Saccharomyces cerevisiae S288C: one gene and its partners. The protein of the gene in region 3 purifies or fractionates together with the protein of the main gene of each other region. This does not show direct contact. Each region holds a gene or a part of one and is shown on either strand. Other genes may lie near its edges.

Region 1 (4,279 bases), on a different chromosome or scaffold from region 3:
CCCCTCCCCCCCTTATATTGAGAGGCCACGAAGCGTTTATTATTACTGCCATAAGAAAGGCGAATCTGCTAACATTTCTATTGACGTCGCTGAACTGCCTTAATTACGGGTTTGAGCTGCTACAGTCGATATTTCTCGATATTTTCTGTCCAAATACAAACACTGTCGGTAACAACTCCCTGGAACAAAGCGGAAAGTTTTTGAAATCGCAGGCTATCCTATATCTTGATCTGAAAACACAGGCTTACATTGCCGGCTTGAAAGAGTTTCAGGACGAGACGAACGAAATTTCTTTAGAAAAGAAACAAGAGCTACTAGACTTAATCTTCCCATCCAATCTGGCTGATATTCTCGTGCAGAGAAGAACCGGCGATTCTGGAGACATTACACTTTTGACTCCATCGGAGAAGGACTTCGTCGAAAGGTGCGATCGTCGGAGAGAAAATTTAAAGATCGTCCAAGATTTTAACTCTCTGACCCAGAGCTACGAATGGGCTCAATTTATCAGAGAGTTGCTGGATTATTGTAATAAAAATATGGGTCTCATCATATGGGGCAGAAAGGGTCGCGGAAAATCACCATTATATGACTTTGATGTCAACGAGTTTGATCCTCAAGTACTCTTTTCTACAGGGACCAGGACCGTAGAATTCATGGACGACCAAAATCAGCCAAGCAGTGCGTCTGCTTTTTTGTCAACTGCTCGTCCGAATCATTACAGCACACATACACCTACCACAGATGTGTCTTCCAAAAACCCCGCTATCACACAATCCATTGTGGATGCCGCTGTTGCGGCCTCGATGAGCAACAGCAGCTCTGGTCCTCATTCCTCTCATAACAACAGCAGTAACAGCAACAATAATGGTAGTATCGGATTAAGAAAACCAAAGGCGAAAAGAACTTGGTCCAAAGAGGAAGAAGAAGCATTAGTGGAAGGCCTGAAAGAGGTTGGCCCATCGTGGTCTAAGATTCTAGATTTATATGGTCCCGGTGGTAAAATCACGGAAAATTTGAAGAACAGGACGCAGGTACAACTGAAAGATAAAGCCCGTAATTGGAAATTACAATACTTGAAGAGTGGCAAACCATTGCCTGACTATTTGATAAAAGTGACCGGTAACTTGGAGAAAATCTACAAGGCAAAGAAAAAATTCTCTCAATCTCCAAATTCGTCAACTATTATGGAACAAAATTTATCTCAGCATCCTTCATCAGCTGCATCTGCTACTGAAGACACTCAAACTCATCAAGAGGATTCACATGGGCAAAATAGTGATAATATGCCATCTAACGGACTTTTTGGCAATAGTACATCGGACAATACAGGTTTTGATCCTCATTTAGAAGATGGGATGTAGCGCGCTTAAATGAACAGACTTCTAATTTTCTATTGAACCACTCACTATTAAAAATACTTTGATGGGTTGTTAACTTCGCATTGTTTGGTTCCCTAGGTATATTCTTTTGACGTGGTCACCCTATCTTCTAGCAACCTGGTCCCCTCGTGTTTTTCTTTTTATTCTTTTTTCTTTTCCATTTTCTATTACATTGGAATGTATATATTTGATGTTCTCATTTTCTAAAATGAAAACTGTTGTATAATTACTTAAAATCCAAGATAAAAATGTGTTGTAATAATATGTGTTTGGTAAGGTGTCGCGGTTATTGGAATAAAGTTTATATAAGACAAAATATCAACGTGTTTTATTTATACAAACATAAAAGCGCGCATTTAACGCCCTTTTACCTTTTATTACTCGGTATTTTTCTTAACGTAGTCCCATAGACTTTTCAATAATCCCTCAGGTAAACTATACAAGTCAATTATAAATTCACCCTCTTCAACATTATTCGTCACGTTCATTTCTGGTGTTTTATTGTCGGTAACCATTTGAACAACACCAACCAGGTCATCTTCATTTAGTTTAGTCAATCCGAACGCTAATTTTTCTAGGTCCACGCTCCCTTTCACGGTAGATGCACTGCCCGTCTTAGCTCTCTTCGCCTTTGGTTCTGCAGTTGTGTTCGTGGTAGTCCTTCTTTTCCCAATGGTGCCTGTATTGGCCGTCGTTTCTTCAGTAGATCCACTTTTCGCAAGTTCTTCTGTTAAAAGTGGTTTATTGAGAGGAATCTGGATAACGTGCTCCACTTCATAACTCTCTTGTAGAAAGTTCAAATCGTGTGGTATTTTCCGCTCACCTGCTTTTTCCAACAAGAAAACGCTTATATCTAAAGGAAATCCACCCCAACCTTGTTCCTCAATTCTAAATGGTGGGTCAGTAAATGTCCTGTTAGGATTGGCGAAAGTTGGGTGCAAGTGGTAAATAACTTTGTCAAAAATTGTAGCGGGAATTTCTTTTCCTTCATCATCCAATAATACAATTTCTATACTCCATTGACGAACAGGAAAATTCTCTACTGGTGGCACTTCTGGCAGAATGTGTTGTTGGGTTTTTATACGGATGGTTCTTTTTACTGTCTGTTGGTTATTTAATGATGAGAATAGAGTCGTAAGTTAGTATTATTTTAGCTAACAAAACAAAAAGCATATGGGTGGGTGGCTAAAAGAGATTAACGAACATACAGCTACCATGATTAGTTATCTAATATCAGTCAGCTCCGAGGTCACGAAGGAGAAAAATTACGGTATATTCTTTTTTTTTCACCGCACTACAGCCTTGACGTGTAATACTGTAACAAGTTCAAACTTCAAGTTTTTTGTCAGTACTTTGCTAAAGAGCTTTCTCGTCTTGAGTGATTTTAAAAAGTGACAGTAAATAAAACAGGAAAGCTAGCCAACAATATTTCTTATTTAAATAAAATAATGATCTATTAATACGCCTGTATAAATAATAAAATGGTTAAAAGTACCGCAAGAGCCACTGTTGTAGGAGTCAAAAAGTTGCTCGCATTATCGTAGTCCTCATTCAATGATGAAATATTCGAATAAGGTGTAGAAGAAGCAACGTAGGAGTGAGAAGTCACGAAAGGCCGAATAGTAGTCGTTGATTCAGTTGTACTTGCATTGATAAGGTTTCCATCGTAAGTATTAACAATATTCTTTTCTTCGACTACTTCATATATATTTGAACCAAGCTTACCCAAATCTTCAGCTTGGGCATTGAAGTCATAAATTAAATCCTCTTCTTCTTCTTCTTCAAGACCGCCTTCAGAACTTCTTTCAAAATCATCAAATTCGTATTCGTTGATATACTCTAGTAGCATATCTGATTTTGACTTCATTTTCGCGTACTCGTTGAAGTCTATAAACTCAAGAGTGTCCGGTAAATCAGTAAGAACAACATCTCTTGTGCTTGCCAACTGTTCCAAAGTCTTCTTGTCAATAGCTTTCTTATCGATTTCAATCACTATAGGGTCTTCATTGAAGTATAAAATTGAGTCACCTCCTAGCTCTTCAGTGGAAAGGCCTACATTACTTCGCTCGCCAAAAACAGTAGAACATAAAATACTTTGTGCAGCAACTATTAATATTTGTTTCTTCATTGATAGTATAGCGTGATCTTATATTTGTTAGTGATGATTTTATGGCACGGACTTAGTTAGAATGCCATTCTAGAGAAGAAATCTTCATATGTTCGTTACATAAAGAGAATAAAATTACCTAAAATTGGATGATAACTTTTATAAAATCAACTACTTTTTGTGGCATTTTTTTCTTTTCTCTTTTCATCATGATTTGAGTGTACTATTACTGCAGTGCAAAAAAAGGGTAGTAATGAGGCGGTACGCAAATCGTAAAAAAAATACAAATGTAGTAAGTGGATGATGTAAATGAGTTAACTAAAAATGAATACAAAGGTTATGTGAAGATAGCTTTATTTAAAATATCTCAAAATGACGTTATATATCCATAATTTATTGTTGACCAGCCAAAGCAGCGATCTTGGCAGCAACACGAGCAGCTCTTTCTTCCTTGGACAATTTGGTTTGTCTGTACTTCTTGGATTCAGCAGCGTATTGTTCCTTGGTGAATTTCTTTTCAGTTGGCTTGAAAGCTGGGTCAGCTCTGATAGCTTCGTGAGCAGAAGTGTAGATGTCTTCCAAAGAGTCAGCATCAATGTCGTCAGCTAGGTAACCCTTGAATAATTCAGAGAATCTTTCTTCATCATCGTCAGCTAATTCTTCCATGTATTGGGAAACGTGGCCACCAAAGATGTAAGATCTCAATAATTCTGGGTCAATTTCTTCGGTTTCGAAGTCCCAACCTGGGAATCTGTTTTCGGAGTGAGGAACGTACAAACCACCGTCAGAAGCA
Region 2 (4,308 bases), on a different chromosome or scaffold from region 3:
GTTTGACCTCTTCATGGTTATCTCCGCCACCATCACGGTCGTTTAAGGACAGATTCTCCATAGTGGCGTCTTCATGGTCCTGTTCGTATTGATCTTTCAAACTTTGAAAGTCTTTCTCGTTTTCTAAGATCGCTTTTATTCCAATAATGTCAATGTCATTAAACACTTCCAAAAGTTTCTCAGCCTCTTCAATTGGTATATCTTCAAAGACTTTATTAATATTATCCAAATTTTTGGTCATTATGGCTTCTTGCATTTTTTCCGGTATTAAAGTTTTGAAAACTTTAACCTTTTTCATCTCTTCTGGATCTTTAGAATTGAAGTCTGGCAAGTTTACTTCTAATTCTGTAGAATCATCTAGAGATTTCAATTGAATCGTCTCTACTCCTTCAGCATTCGATTCATCCATTTCCTCTTGTTGTAAAATTTTGGAACGTTTTTGAATGTGCAAAAATTTTTCTTGAACTGATCTCAAAAAAGACTCTTTACCCATTGGCTTGTCCTTGTTGAAGATAACCTTCTCGAAAAACATATTAATGACATTTGATAGTTCCATTGGATTTAAATATGGAATTTTCTTCATGTCGTAGATTTCCTTAATGTAGGCCATCAATTCGGATTGATGAATGACTTGCAAAGTCATCTTATCGTCACCATGTAACTGATACTCAAAGGCCTTCATCATTAAGGCGTCCTTTTGTTGTTCTGAAATAATAGGTAAGTGCTCCAGTAAGAATTTCTGAGATTTTGAGTACTCATTAATGGATATTTTACCGAATTCTTCAGTTTCCTTGGCCAGTTTCATAGGATCATCTTTAAAATCGATGAAAGTTTGCGGAACTGATGATTTTGCTAGTTTATTAAGAATATTAGACTCTGCAGCGCTCGAAAGAGCTTCTGAAGGAGTTGCTTCCAGTGGCTTAGCCCCCCCCTTTTGCTTGTTCATAAAGCTACTATCAAAGCCTGTATGAATGTCTTCAGATGAAATGTGTGCATTTTTCTCCTTGTATAATTCATCTAATTTCTTCTTAGCCTCTACAGTTACTGAATCGATCTTAGCCCTATGTTTCAAAATAGCATCCCTTATGAGAGATGGGCTCTTCGAGTCTTTGCCCTCTTTGTCTAAATCTTTTGCTAATTGTTCAAAAAGATCTTCAACCATTTCATTGTATGTTGCAATCTCAGGATCAACATTTTCCCCTTTACTTTTCTCCATCTTATCAAAATTTGCATTCAAGAATTTGGTAACGGCTGGCAAATCAGTAAGAGAACTTTCAGGTAAATTACTCAAAATTCTGTCCACTCGTTTGTTCAAATGAGAATACATATCCACTTGTGTCTCCAAATTTTTGATATCTTGGTTCCTTTTGAATCGCTGTTCATGGATACTCTGTTGTTTCCATTTAATGAACGATTTCTTGTCCACATTAGGATGCACCTCGACATCAGAATCATCTGATAGTTCAATTTTATCCCACTTAGAGTAATCAATGGCCATTTTTGACTTATGTAGTTGTTCCGTAGTACGATAGCTCGATAGTTTTTTTATCGTGATGAAGTGTTGGTGCAACGGAGGTGTTCTCTTATGTGGCAATCTTTCATGATCCTTCAGTAAAAAATCGTGAAAAACGGATGTTCAAAAAGCGTGTCAAATTTGCGTGAATAAGTGCTCTAATCAATCTAATAACGAATCGTGTATTTAAAAGAGTTGCATACTGCTACACTATATACATATTTCATTTCCATTTGTTAGCCACTAACGATAAAAGTCTGGGCGACCTATATTGAGCCCGTATTCAGCAACAGCGCTACTGAGATCGTTCACCGTCAGAACAACTTTGCTTGCTGTAGTCTTCTCATTCTGTTGATGTTGTTGTTGTGAAATCTGCTGCACGCCAGGCTGTTGCTGTCCTTGCAATAGCTGCCTAGCTCTCGCCTGACTGTTGTTAGCATTAGATACCGCTACGGAAGACCTGATCCTGGAATATTCGTAGGCATCCTTAGCTATATCACTAACAAATTTCTGAGTAGCAAGTGCTAAAAGTCGTTTCACTCGTACATCTGCTACGTTAAACCCGTTTTTGGTTAAATAGTAGTCTATTACTGCATCGGGAATGATAGGAGGAGTACTGTCCATCATCTCTAGAATCTCCTCCAGAGTCTTATCTTTTCTTGTAAATTCGGGTATACCAAATGCATTTTCACTCCCATCATCCACTACAGCCTCTCTCTTTTGCTTCTTCTTCATGTTTTCTGCGACAGAGTCATCATTATCATTGTCCCCATCATCGGCTCCCGCAACCGATGGAAAAGGTGTTTCTAATTGTCCTTCTTGATTATCATCAAACTCCGCATCGTAATCTTCCTCAAAATCCATAGTTTCAGTTATTCTTTCCTCTGTTCTTCGCTGCCAGTTCTTTTTAGCTTAGGCATGAATGCTGAATCTGCAGCTTCTTTAATTTTTCGTTTCTGTTTTCAACTTGAAAAAACAAAAGTATCAACTCCTACTATTCAACTAAAGTAACAAAAATAAGCTGCGTTAAAGCTGCTAAACTAGGAAAGAAGTTTCTGTTGAAATAAAGTAGCGAAAAAAAGTTTGGTACCATGGATAGGTTTCAAATTGGCGACGAGCAACTACTTCGTTTTTATCAGTTGAAGACTATTAATCCGACCCATTCCTGGGCCCAAGATTCCTCAAAATTGAATAATGAAGAGGCTACAAGCAATGAACTTGGCGTTGAAACGTCATTCGACATATTAAAAGACTTCAAATATGGCAATCAAATTAGCATTGACAAGGAATCGAGAGCATATTTAAACGATGAGTCGTTAAGTTATATTAGAGATCCCTTGAATGGACAAGAAATGTCTAAAGAATTGCAACATCTACCAAATGATTCAATGCGGTTGAACTATCTTGTCAACAGTAAACAATTCAACGTCAAAGCCTTTCTGAGAGATATGCACAAACAAGACTCTTTCAATGATCTAAATAACTCACTGGACAGGTTGGACAGTGATATACAAGACCAATCTATACATTTGAAACAATTGGTTGGTAAAAATTTCACCAAGTATGTTAAGATTAAAAACAAGTTAGACCAAATTTACAAAGAATTTGACGAGAAAACGAATGAAAAAAACCAATGTGATTCACCAAAAGAAAATCAAATAAATGTGGAAAGCTTAAATAAAAAGGTCGACGAGGTTATTAGAACAACAACTTTCAAACTGAAACCGCTAATGGATAACTATCAGAAAATTTTGAATTACCAGGCCACCAAAAAATTTATTGAATTGAATAAGTTTTACTTCAACCTACCCAAATCTTTAAAGAGATGTTTGACTAACAACGATTTCAATGAGTTCATTATCGAATATTCAAAAGGTCTTACGCTCCGTCGCCGTTTCAACCAGAGTTCAGATGCTTCACAATCTCTTGTTATAAAAAGAATTTGGACTCAAATAGAAAATTTATTAGTCACGTATAAAGATCTGATTTGGAACAGTTTAATAAATTCAAATTTTAACATTGACCAACCCCAAGAAACAATTTTGTCCCTCTTTTCAAAATTGTTGAACTTAGAAAACTTTATCAATAATAATCAAAGAGAAAGTGAAAGTGGTAACAAGAACACAACTTCATCATCCAATGAAAATCCAATCCTAAGATGGATGTCCATCAAAATGAATGGCTTTCAGAATGAACTGAACGAGTTGTCTGGCCATATGATTAGTAAAATCATTCATTCTCAAAGGCTTATATTACAAAACAATACTAATCAAGATAAAAGTCAAGGGTGCGTGGAGCTGTCGTATTATTTGAAAATCAATCAATTATTCCAAATAATAAGTGATACGGGCAAGGATAGTGAAGGTTTGAAAAGTACCGTTGAACCCAATAAAGTTAACACCATTTCTGGAACCAGCTATCTAAATTTGAATTGCCAACCCAGCTCTCAAGGACTAACTGATTCCCCAACTATCATTGAAATGTGGCTATTAATCTTAAAATATATTAACGACCTGTGGAAAATTTGTGATCAATTTATAGAATTCTGGGAACACATTGAAAAGTTCCTCGATGGGACTTACCAAAATTCCATTATAAATGAAAAAAGAAAAGAAAACATTTTGATCGGTGATTCTAATATTATTGAATCATACCAAAAAAGCTTGATCTTGAAGGAAGAACAGATTAACGAGGTTAGGTTAAAGGGCGAGGAATTCATCACTTCAGTCTCACAAAATTTAATATCATTTTTCACATCTTCTCAATCATCTCTACCATCATCATTGAAGGATTCT
Region 3 (9,943 bases):
TTCCCGGATACATGGTGATGCACAGTTTTTTTGGGTTTTCGTTGAAGAATCTGATAAGTCGCAAATCCTTCATTTTGAAAAGTTCATCTTAAACAGAAGGCAGTTGAATAATCAGCATGAAATGGACTTCATGATCCCATTGTCAGACCCTTTGCCTCCGCAGGTTGTCGTAAAGGTTGTGTCGGATACTTGGATTGGCTGTGAATCGACCCATGCCATCTCTTTTCAACATTTAATCAGACCATTTAACGAAACTTTACAGACAAAATTGTTGAAGTTACGTCCTCTACCTACATCAGCCCTCCAGAATCCTTTAATTGAGTCAATTTATCCTTTCAAGTATTTCAATCCCATGCAAACTATGACATTTTATACACTTTACAATACCAATGAGAATGCGTTTGTTGGCTCGCCTACAGGTTCTGGTAAAACGATTGTGGCTGAATTGGCTATATGGCATGCCTTCAAAACATTTCCTGGGAAAAAGATTGTTTATATCGCACCAATGAAAGCATTAGTACGTGAAAGGGTTGATGACTGGAGAAAGAAAATAACACCAGTGACCGGAGATAAAGTTGTAGAGTTAACCGGTGATTCTTTGCCAGATCCTAAAGATGTGCATGATGCCACCATTGTTATTACAACTCCAGAAAAGTTTGATGGTATTTCCCGTAATTGGCAAACTCGTAAGTTTGTTCAAGATGTATCTTTAATTATCATGGATGAAATTCATTTGTTGGCTAGTGATCGTGGTCCTATCTTAGAAATGATTGTTAGTCGTATGAATTATATTTCCTCTCAAACCAAGCAACCGGTCAGACTGCTAGGTATGTCAACTGCTGTTTCAAACGCCTACGACATGGCTGGCTGGTTGGGAGTTAAGGACCACGGACTGTATAACTTCCCGTCAAGCGTCCGTCCGGTTCCATTGAAAATGTACATTGATGGATTTCCAGATAATTTGGCATTCTGTCCTCTGATGAAAACAATGAACAAACCTGTGTTTATGGCCATTAAACAACATTCACCTGATAAACCAGCATTAATATTTGTTGCATCGCGTAGACAAACTAGACTAACGGCTTTAGACTTGATCCACTTATGTGGAATGGAAGATAATCCACGTAGGTTTTTGAATATAGACGATGAGGAGGAACTGCAATATTACTTATCACAGGTCACTGACGACACTTTAAAGTTATCACTCCAGTTCGGTATTGGATTGCATCATGCAGGTCTAGTGCAAAAAGATCGTTCTATTTCTCATCAGTTGTTTCAAAAAAACAAAATTCAGATTCTGATCGCTACATCAACCCTAGCGTGGGGTGTCAATTTGCCAGCTCACTTGGTTATCATCAAAGGTACACAATTTTTTGATGCAAAAATTGAAGGATATAGAGATATGGATTTAACAGATATCTTGCAAATGATGGGGAGAGCTGGTAGACCGGCTTATGACACTACAGGTACTGCTATCGTTTATACAAAAGAGTCCAAAAAAATGTTTTATAAACATTTCCTAAACGTTGGTTTTCCTGTCGAGTCCTCCTTGCACAAGGTATTAGATGATCATTTAGGTGCAGAAATAACGTCAGGTAGCATAACTAATAAGCAAGAAGCGTTAGATTTTTTGAGTTGGACATTTTTGTTTCGTAGAGCGCATCATAACCCGACATATTATGGCATTGAAGATGATACAAGTACAGCAGGAGTCAGTGAACATTTGAGTTCTTTGATAGATAGCACATTAGAAAATCTGCGAGAATCACAATGTGTTTTATTACATGGAGATGATATTGTTGCTACGCCATTCTTAAGTATATCCTCATACTACTATATTTCACATTTAACGATACGCCAATTATTGAAACAGATACATGATCATGCGACTTTTCAAGAGGTATTACGATGGTTATCGTTGGCTGTTGAGTATAATGAATTGCCTGTAAGAGGTGGTGAAATTATCATGAATGAAGAAATGTCGCAGCAATCGAGGTACTCCGTTGAAAGCACTTTTACCGATGAATTCGAATTACCGATGTGGGATCCACATGTAAAAACATTTTTATTACTTCAAGCTCATTTAAGCCGTGTAGATTTACCGATTGCAGATTATATCCAGGATACCGTATCAGTTTTGGATCAATCTCTACGTATTCTACAGGCTTATATTGATGTCGCCAGTGAATTGGGTTACTTTCATACGGTATTGACCATGATAAAGATGATGCAATGCATAAAGCAAGGGTATTGGTATGAAGACGATCCTGTTAGTGTACTTCCAGGATTACAACTGAGAAGAATCAAAGATTACACTTTTAGCGAGCAGGGGTTCATTGAAATGACGCCGCAGCAAAAGAAGAAAAAGCTGTTAACCTTGGAGGAAATAGGAAGGTTTGGATATAAGAAATTATTAAATGTTTTTGATCAACTAACTTTTGGAATGACAGAAAGCGAAGATACGAAAAAACGTTTCGTCAGTGTCTGCCAAAGATTACCGGTTTTAGAAGGCATGAAATTTGAAGAACAGGAAAATAACGAGGTGTTAACATTTTATAGCAAGCACCTTTCTAGTAAGCATAATAATGGGTTTGAAGTATATTGTGATAAATTCCCTAAGATACAAAAAGAACTATGGTTTTTAATTGGACACAAAGGCGATGAACTGCTGATGATTAAAAGGTGTCAACCAAAACAAATGAATAAAGAGGTCATAATACATTGTGATCTATTTATTCCCGAAGAAATTCGTGGCGAAGAATTGCAATTTTCCCTTATTAATGACGCTTTAGGATTACGTTATGATATGGTCCATAAACTAATCTCTTAGTGAGACACAATTAAAACAACAATTATTTTGTGAAAGATAACAGTGGAAATCTATCTAGTATACATCTTCGTATATATTTTCTTACATAACGCATTTAGAATTTTTTTACTCAAAAAAGTCATCCTTTTCATCTTCTCCCACAACTTGATCCAATTCTTTTCTATCCTGTGTAGGTGATACTTGTGATCCATCCTCATGATCTTTATCAGGTGATAATGTTAATCCGATGGAATCTTCATCCAATTTCTTTCCCTTCAATATCTCTTCGAAAGATACGTTTAAGGTGTTCGCATCCATTCTTTCAGCTACTAATTTAAGAAATTGTTCTCTTCTAAGATTTGTCAATTCTACGCCCTTTGGGTCTGTAGATGGTGTATCATTCGGATATAGTGCAATATACTTTTCAGTTTTGGGAAAATTTATCACGTAACATAATTCAATTTTAGTGGCTCTCAACTTTTGTTGTAAATCTTTATCATCTGCGCCAGATTCTTTTATTTTCTTCAATAATCTGTTATATTTTCTCAATGCTTTTTTTTTTTCAAAGAATCTCACCATATGATATTTTTTAGCGTTGGCTTTAATCTTATTCTTGAGTTCATTATTCTGCAATTCCAACCGTAAAGCTTGCAAATTTCTTTCCTTTTCTATTATTACTGTGGATGGAAGTATATCTTTCTTCTTTTTTAATAACCTCTCTAAATCTCTTATTCTTCTTTTAATTTTGTTTGTTCCTGCATCCATTATCTGGGACATCTCTAGAGATGACCCAAGAGCCTTGCTTCTCTTCCTCTGTAATTTAGCCATTGATTGATTAGGTTTATTGAATGATATAAGTAAAATAACTAAGTCACGATATTTGTTTTATGTATTGTTTAATTGTAGAGATGAGATGAGTATGAAAATTTTTTTGAATGTGTTTTTCTTAGTGCTCCGGCATAGGGTACCGCAGAAATTAAAGGAATACATATTTTTGAGCTTCAAGCACTTTTTATAATCTTAGCGTACTTATCTTTATATTCATCTGCAGAGTAACCGAGAAAGCCGTGATATGTGTCTTTTCTCCTTTTTTTTTTGGCTTTCCATAACTTTTTCTTCCAGTTGAGATAAATTTATTGAAGCCTGTGAGTCTTGATTAATGACGGCAAATCCAGGTCTAGGTTTAAATCCCAACTTAGATGTTTCTAGCTCTTGCAACCAGCGGGGATCTTTTGTTATGGAGTATTCAAATCCACGTATTGTATCCAATGGCCTTTCATTTCTTGCTCTTGTAGGATTTGAAATATCAGGTGTTTTTATATTCCTACCAAATGTATCCTTCATGGATTTCAAATTTCCATCTTTATCGTAAATAACATAACCATTGCAAGTTGAGTTTTCTGTTAACGGATGTATCTTCTGTAAGTTAGAGAAAGTGGCTTCTTCAAAAGGCTGGGCTTCTTGAACAGCCTCGAGGATTGGAGCGGCCAAAGAAGAAGAGCGTAATTTAATTCTTGATGTATCATCATCCTTTTCTATCTTATCTGAACTTTCGAAATGTTGCATTTTTTGATAAACTATGATTTTAGAGCACTTCAGATATTACTTTAGGAAACTTTTGCTTTAATATTCTTAACATTATAAAATTGACGACAGCATCACACTTTTGAGTGCGTCACAAATGCATATAAATGAAAAAAGGTAACTTAGTTGAGGAAAAAATAGACACAAATTAAAATTTTGATATAATTATAGTAATAAAACTACATAAATCATATTATATTTATCAAGACAAACAGGTTACTATAGGGAAAAAGATTAAATTTTGAGTAAGAATTTGCTTTTGTAAAGGAAAAGAGCAACCAGTATGAAAAATGCATATTAGGGAACCTTTTCTGCTATTGTCCTTTATGTTTTAACCTCTGTGATTTCCAATCAGACTGGAAAAATACAAGCTTTAAATACTCGAGCACAAAGACAACAATTATTGTGTTTAATCAGTGAGTTGGGCTATATTAATGGAACTCAAATAATATGCACTTTTCATCTTACTGCAAAAGTGCACATTCACACACCACGTCCATCGTTTAAGGATATGACTCAATAAATTATCAATCTGATCACTGCCAGTGTTTAGAAACATAGTGTACATTTCTTTATTGTTACATTATACAAAACCTTTACAAAAGTTTTATTCGATCAATACATCGTTATACTGAATCTACTTTGGTGAAGCAGGGTTATCTTTACTGCTATACATTGGACAAGATTTATTTGTTCTAATGTGCCCGATTTGTCCGCATGTAGCACATCTCCTTGTAGTGTTCTTACCTTTATTCCTGGCTGCTTTCCCGTCAGTTACACCGGCAAGGTCGCTACCATTATCCACAGAGTTTTCTGTTCTCGTGGCACCACCATTTCTCTTCGAATTTTGCCTTGCTGCTCTACGTTGCTGTGATTTTTCCAAATTAGCTAATTCTAGTTGCAACAGTTTTTTCTGTTTCTCAAGTTCTTCCAAGTTATTTATCTTTGAAGTGTCCTCCTCTAACAATTTGTTAACATCTTCTTTATCCTGTTCTTTGATTTTTATATATCCTTGAATGACCCTAGGATCTCTTATGAAAATTGTCTGCCTTTGAATTATACCATTTTCATCTCTTTTCTTTCTAACAATCTTCAGAATTTTCTTATCATCTCTATCCGTCTTAACATGCTTGTTGGTCTGATTAATCTCATCAGGATTGGTCATTTCCTCAAAAGGATTGCTTATGCTCAACGATTTTGTATGTGTATACCAGGTCTTCGCAATTTCTTCGTCGTAAGCTTTTTGCTGTTGAGCCACATTGTAGCTATGCGTGTTAGTGCCTTTTTTGTTTGAACTATTGTTATTACTGGAAGGAGAACCAGACTTAACAAAACCACCTTTCATTGAAGTTTTCAAGAAAGAAAAACCTTCACCACAGCCCGTTGGGTCACCAACACCATGTATTTGTATCATAGCTCGCATTTGTGTTGAATTAATAAAATTTTTTGTAATGTTCCATGGTAACAAGTTTTCTTCTAGAGATTTTAGCTTAGAATCAAAATTATATGCTTCATTATCTTCTTGGAATTGTAAGCCCTGACTCATTGATTCAACTTGGCTGATCTGCTCTGGCGTAATTAAACTTTTCACTGCTTCATTGTCTAACAATTTTTCATCATCTTTAAGCCTCCACAGACCTTTTTCAGGACCATCTCTTTGATATTTCATGAACTCCTTCACTTTTTGTCTGTTTTGTCCATAATCTTGGTCGGGAAAGTGCTTTGCAATGGGATCAATAGAAATTGCCTTGCTGTGATTATGGTTTAGAATTCTATAAATAATCATTTTCAGTCTTGTAGCTTTCATTGATGTCACCTTTCTTGAATTAGGTCCGGGAATCTCCTCGACAGGAAAAGTTTGTCCAACCGTAAAAAGATGGTTAATATTACGTAAGTAAAATCGATTGCTTATACCAAATCCGGAACTTTTTGTCAGAAGAAAATCTGTTCCTGATATATCATGTTTGAAAACGGGTGCTCTAATCATGTTATTGTATAATGTGGGGACGATATGACCAGGTTCAACAAATCCAAAGTTCCAAAATGGTGATTTGTCTTGAACTCCCAAAACGTGAGTTTCGCCAACAGGCAATTTGGGCCTTAGAGTATCTTGTTCATTGGCTTTCCGATAATAATTAATTAATTTATTGGCCATACCAAATTTAGACAAAGCTACCGGTGTTTGTTCAGAATATTCCATTAAATAAACAGGAGCAGTATCCCCGATGGTTAGATCTTGAGATGTAGAAAATGATTCTTTGACATCTTTACCTTTATCTCTTTTCCTTTTACGCGCTTTTAACTTACTGAAGACAATTTTAGTACCTGGTCTGATGTGCGAACCAAAGTTTTCACGGTGGAAATGCCTCAACTGGTATCTAGGAACAGCCACTTTGTAAAATGGAGATTGTAAATTAATCGCAGGTTGAGAATGCTGAATATTTAAGTTCGAGATGGTAGAACGAACTTTTGTTTGATGGGTTTTTTTCAAGATTTGATATTTATCATCATTAGATAAATTGAATTTTTGTTGCAAAATAGTTTCGTTGAGGGGCAATATCAAGTTACTACTATCCAGTTGTTGCTTTTGCTGCGCTAAATTATTTGTTTTCTCAATCATCAGCAACAGTTTTTCGTCATTCATATTTAATTCAGCATGTTTAGACTCTTTCAATTTTGCATCAATGATCATGTCTTCATCCCACTGCCAATCTTCAGCAACATCCTCAATCAAGCTCTTCAATTTATAACCGCCGGAGAACTTTAAGTTGGGTGTCATAGACGAATCCGCCAAGGTTGCTGTTGATGAAGTACCTTGGTTGATGATTTTTTCTTGGTCCCAATCATCAGTGGCAATAAGCAAGTCTTCCGATATGGTCTTTTCATCATGAATAATCTTTCTTTTTTTTTGTTGCTCTTTGATAGGGAAAAGTTCATCAATGGAAACATGAATTAAACCTCTTCGGGATGCAGAAGAGTTACTTTGAAGTAAATTGTTTTTCCCTTGATAAATCGGAGCGACGTAAGATATTGTCCTTGAGTTGAATAGCCTCTTATCATCCTGTTGAACCTTGAATTTCAAATTTAAAGGCATAAACGGTTTCTTTACCCTAGATATTTCACTGTGCCAATGATAAGGAACAGATCTTCTATAAATCAGCTTGTTCCATTTTAAAATTTTACCCTTTTCAAAATCAGGAAAGTATTTTTTTAGAAGATACTTCTCATGGTTTATCAAGTCTAATTTGGTGGCTTTCTTATGCTTGCCATCTGACATATCTGGTTCCATGATAAATCCACCATTTATCGACATATCATTTCCATTAACGCCACCAATGGAAAGTTGAGAATGCCCAATTTCATTTGCGCCACTACCATCAAGAACTCCAGTTTCAGTGGCGAGATGAATTTCATTTGCATCCATTCCCATAAACAAAGCATTGCTAGTTGCGGGAGTACCCCCATCATCCTCCAAAATAAACTGTTGAGACAAATCACCATTAATTTCAGGCAGTTGCATATTCAAACTATTTGAGTCGATACCGAGTACGGCACCGTTCTCGTTTACATCATCATACGCGCCCATAGTCATCATAGCTGGATGCAAATTAGCATCAGATTCTTCTGGCAAATCGTCATCGTCATCAGCAAGTTCATCTTCATCTTCAAAATCTACAGCATCCGGCAAATGCTCCGTATAGTCCTTTGAATTGGCACCTTCATCCCCGCCAATGTATGACCCGATTTCTAAAGAGCCAAACTCTCCGCCAAAAATAGCTTCATATGCTTCATCTTCGTTGGCCAAGTTGGTCTTGCCGGATCCCTGCTGCTTTACCATATCGCCTTATACTCCTGTTGTACTTCTTTTTCTCTCTGTGTTTAAAATGCTATTTATTCTCTTAAAAGCACATTTGAAAACCATCGCCGCGAAATGAAATTATCGACTAGTTTATTAATGAACAAGGCGATAAAACCTAATGTTGGAAAGAAAGAGCTACGTCAGCAAGAGATAGAGAAAATGGACCCACAGACGCTCATTACTAAGGCCAATAAGGTTTCTTACTATGGCAACCCTACGAGTAAGGAATCATGGAGGTATGATTGGTACCAACCATCTAAGGTGAGCTCCAATGTGCAGCAACCACAACAACAGCTAGGGGACATGGAGAATAACTTGGAGAAATATCCATTCAGGTATAAAACATGGTTGAGGAACCAGGAAGATGAGAAAAATCTACAGAGGGAGAGCTGTGAGGATATATTAGATTTGAAAGAATTTGATAGAAGAATACTGAAAAAGTCGTTGATGACATCGCACACTAAGGGTGATACAAGTAAGGCCACCGGTGCTCCTTCTGCTAATCAAGGAGATGAAGCTCTTAGTGTGGATGATATAAGAGGCGCTGTCGGTAATAGTGAAGCCATTCCTGGGTTATCTGCGGGAGTGAACAATGATAATACAAAGGAGAGTAAAGATGTGAAAATGAATTAAAAGGAAAAGTATTATGCATATATATATATATATATATATATATATATTTATATATTTATACACATAGAATTATTTTACAGTAAAGGATGCTACACCACCCCGGGCTAACTTTATGGCTTCTACTATTTCAGGTTCCCTTTCGCGTCTTTTATCTAATCTTTCCTTTTTGTCTTGAATAAACTCTAACTCAGTTGAAAGATTGTTCCATGGTCTTGTGTCGCCTGTACCCGACATGATCAAAATCATAGTACCTGGTGTAGCATTCTCGTATAATTGTGTTAGATGTTGCCCTATATCATGAAGAACCATGGACGCATCGAACGAAGGAGTTTCCTTCCGTGGCTTTTTATTATAGTTGCGTGACCTCTCTAAGTTCTTGATTCTCCCCACAATAAGTTTGACATCTTTATTTAGATTCTCGTGAATATGGGTCCATGTCTCATCATCTTCGACGCAACGGATTAACTGGCCCTTAGAATCGTCCTCAGTATGATTTTTAATAATCATATCGTTGAGAAGAACGGTTTTCACTTCAAAACGATGTAATTTGGTGAACAAGTTCTCCGTATTGATACCTATCCCAAATGCTAACCCATTTAAGATTTTTAATTTCGTCAATTCAAGACAAGCCCTTGCATCTTCGACAGAATCGTGTTCTCCGTTTTGAATGCTTTTATTCAGAAAGGTTTCGCTCAAGTATTTTAAACTTGGCTTGAAAGGATCGCCAGCTTTATGATGGTATATAATAGCTGTATCCACGACCAATGGATGTTTCAATTTCATGACTTTCAAATCATTCTGTAGCGAATGTCCTATCAAAATATCTGAACGACTTATTATCTTTAGTAAATCTTTTTGTACTTCTCGCAATGTTTTCTTGGCACCAACAGTTAGTTTCTCTTCAGTTATACCACTGTAACGTGTCAAATAGTCCACTATGGGGACATCAGGTTTCACCAACTCTTCATAGATAACTTCATTGTCAAAATTCACTAGAGAAATCCTAGTTAGAACTAAACCTTGTTCGGAAAGACACATTTCACAGTCTAGTGCAAAGA

The links. The genes of interacting proteins can lie anywhere in the genome.
Region 1: the proteins of TAF1 (region 3) and TAF14 purify together in Saccharomyces cerevisiae (affinity purification with western blotting; 12 studies listed by BioGRID, with this or other methods). This does not show direct contact.
Region 2: the proteins of TAF1 (region 3) and TAF10 purify together in Saccharomyces cerevisiae (affinity purification with western blotting; 15 studies listed by BioGRID, with this or other methods). This does not show direct contact.

Annotation. Positions count from the first base shown.
Region 1 is NC_001148.4:303,615-307,893, reverse strand, and holds TAF14 (TATA-binding protein-associated factor TAF14), read right to left. Parts: upstream 2,597-4,279; coding exon 2,588-2,596; intron 2,483-2,587; coding exon 1,757-2,482; downstream 1-1,756. Other genes in the region: TBF1 (Tbf1p), read left to right, coding at 1-1,361; SPO19 (Spo19p), read right to left, coding at 2,836-3,507; 60S ribosomal protein uL18 RPL5, read right to left, coding at 3,880-4,279. UniProt on the Saccharomyces cerevisiae protein: Functions as a component of the DNA-binding general transcription factor complex TFIID, the RNA polymerase II associated general transcription factor complex TFIIF, and the chromatin-remodeling complex SWI/SNF.
Region 2 is NC_001136.10:787,518-791,825, reverse strand, and holds TAF10 (Taf10p), read right to left. Parts: upstream 2,378-4,308; coding exon 1,757-2,377; downstream 1-1,756. Other genes in the region: Hsp90 co-chaperone CDC37, read right to left, coding at 1-1,498; exocyst subunit SEC5, read left to right, coding at 2,605-4,308.
Region 3 is NC_001139.9:1,034,865-1,044,807, forward strand, and holds TAF1 (histone acetyltransferase), read right to left. Parts: upstream 8,232-9,943; coding exon 5,031-8,231; downstream 1-5,030. Other genes in the region: SLH1 (RNA helicase), read left to right, coding at 1-2,830; EFG1 (Efg1p), read right to left, coding at 2,936-3,637; YGR273C (uncharacterized protein), read right to left, coding at 3,851-4,375; RTT102 (Rtt102p), read left to right, coding at 8,412-8,885; RNH70 (Rnh70p), read right to left, coding at 8,955-9,943. UniProt on the Saccharomyces cerevisiae protein: Functions as a component of the DNA-binding general transcription factor complex TFIID. Binding of TFIID to a promoter (with or without TATA element) is the initial step in pre-initiation complex (PIC) formation.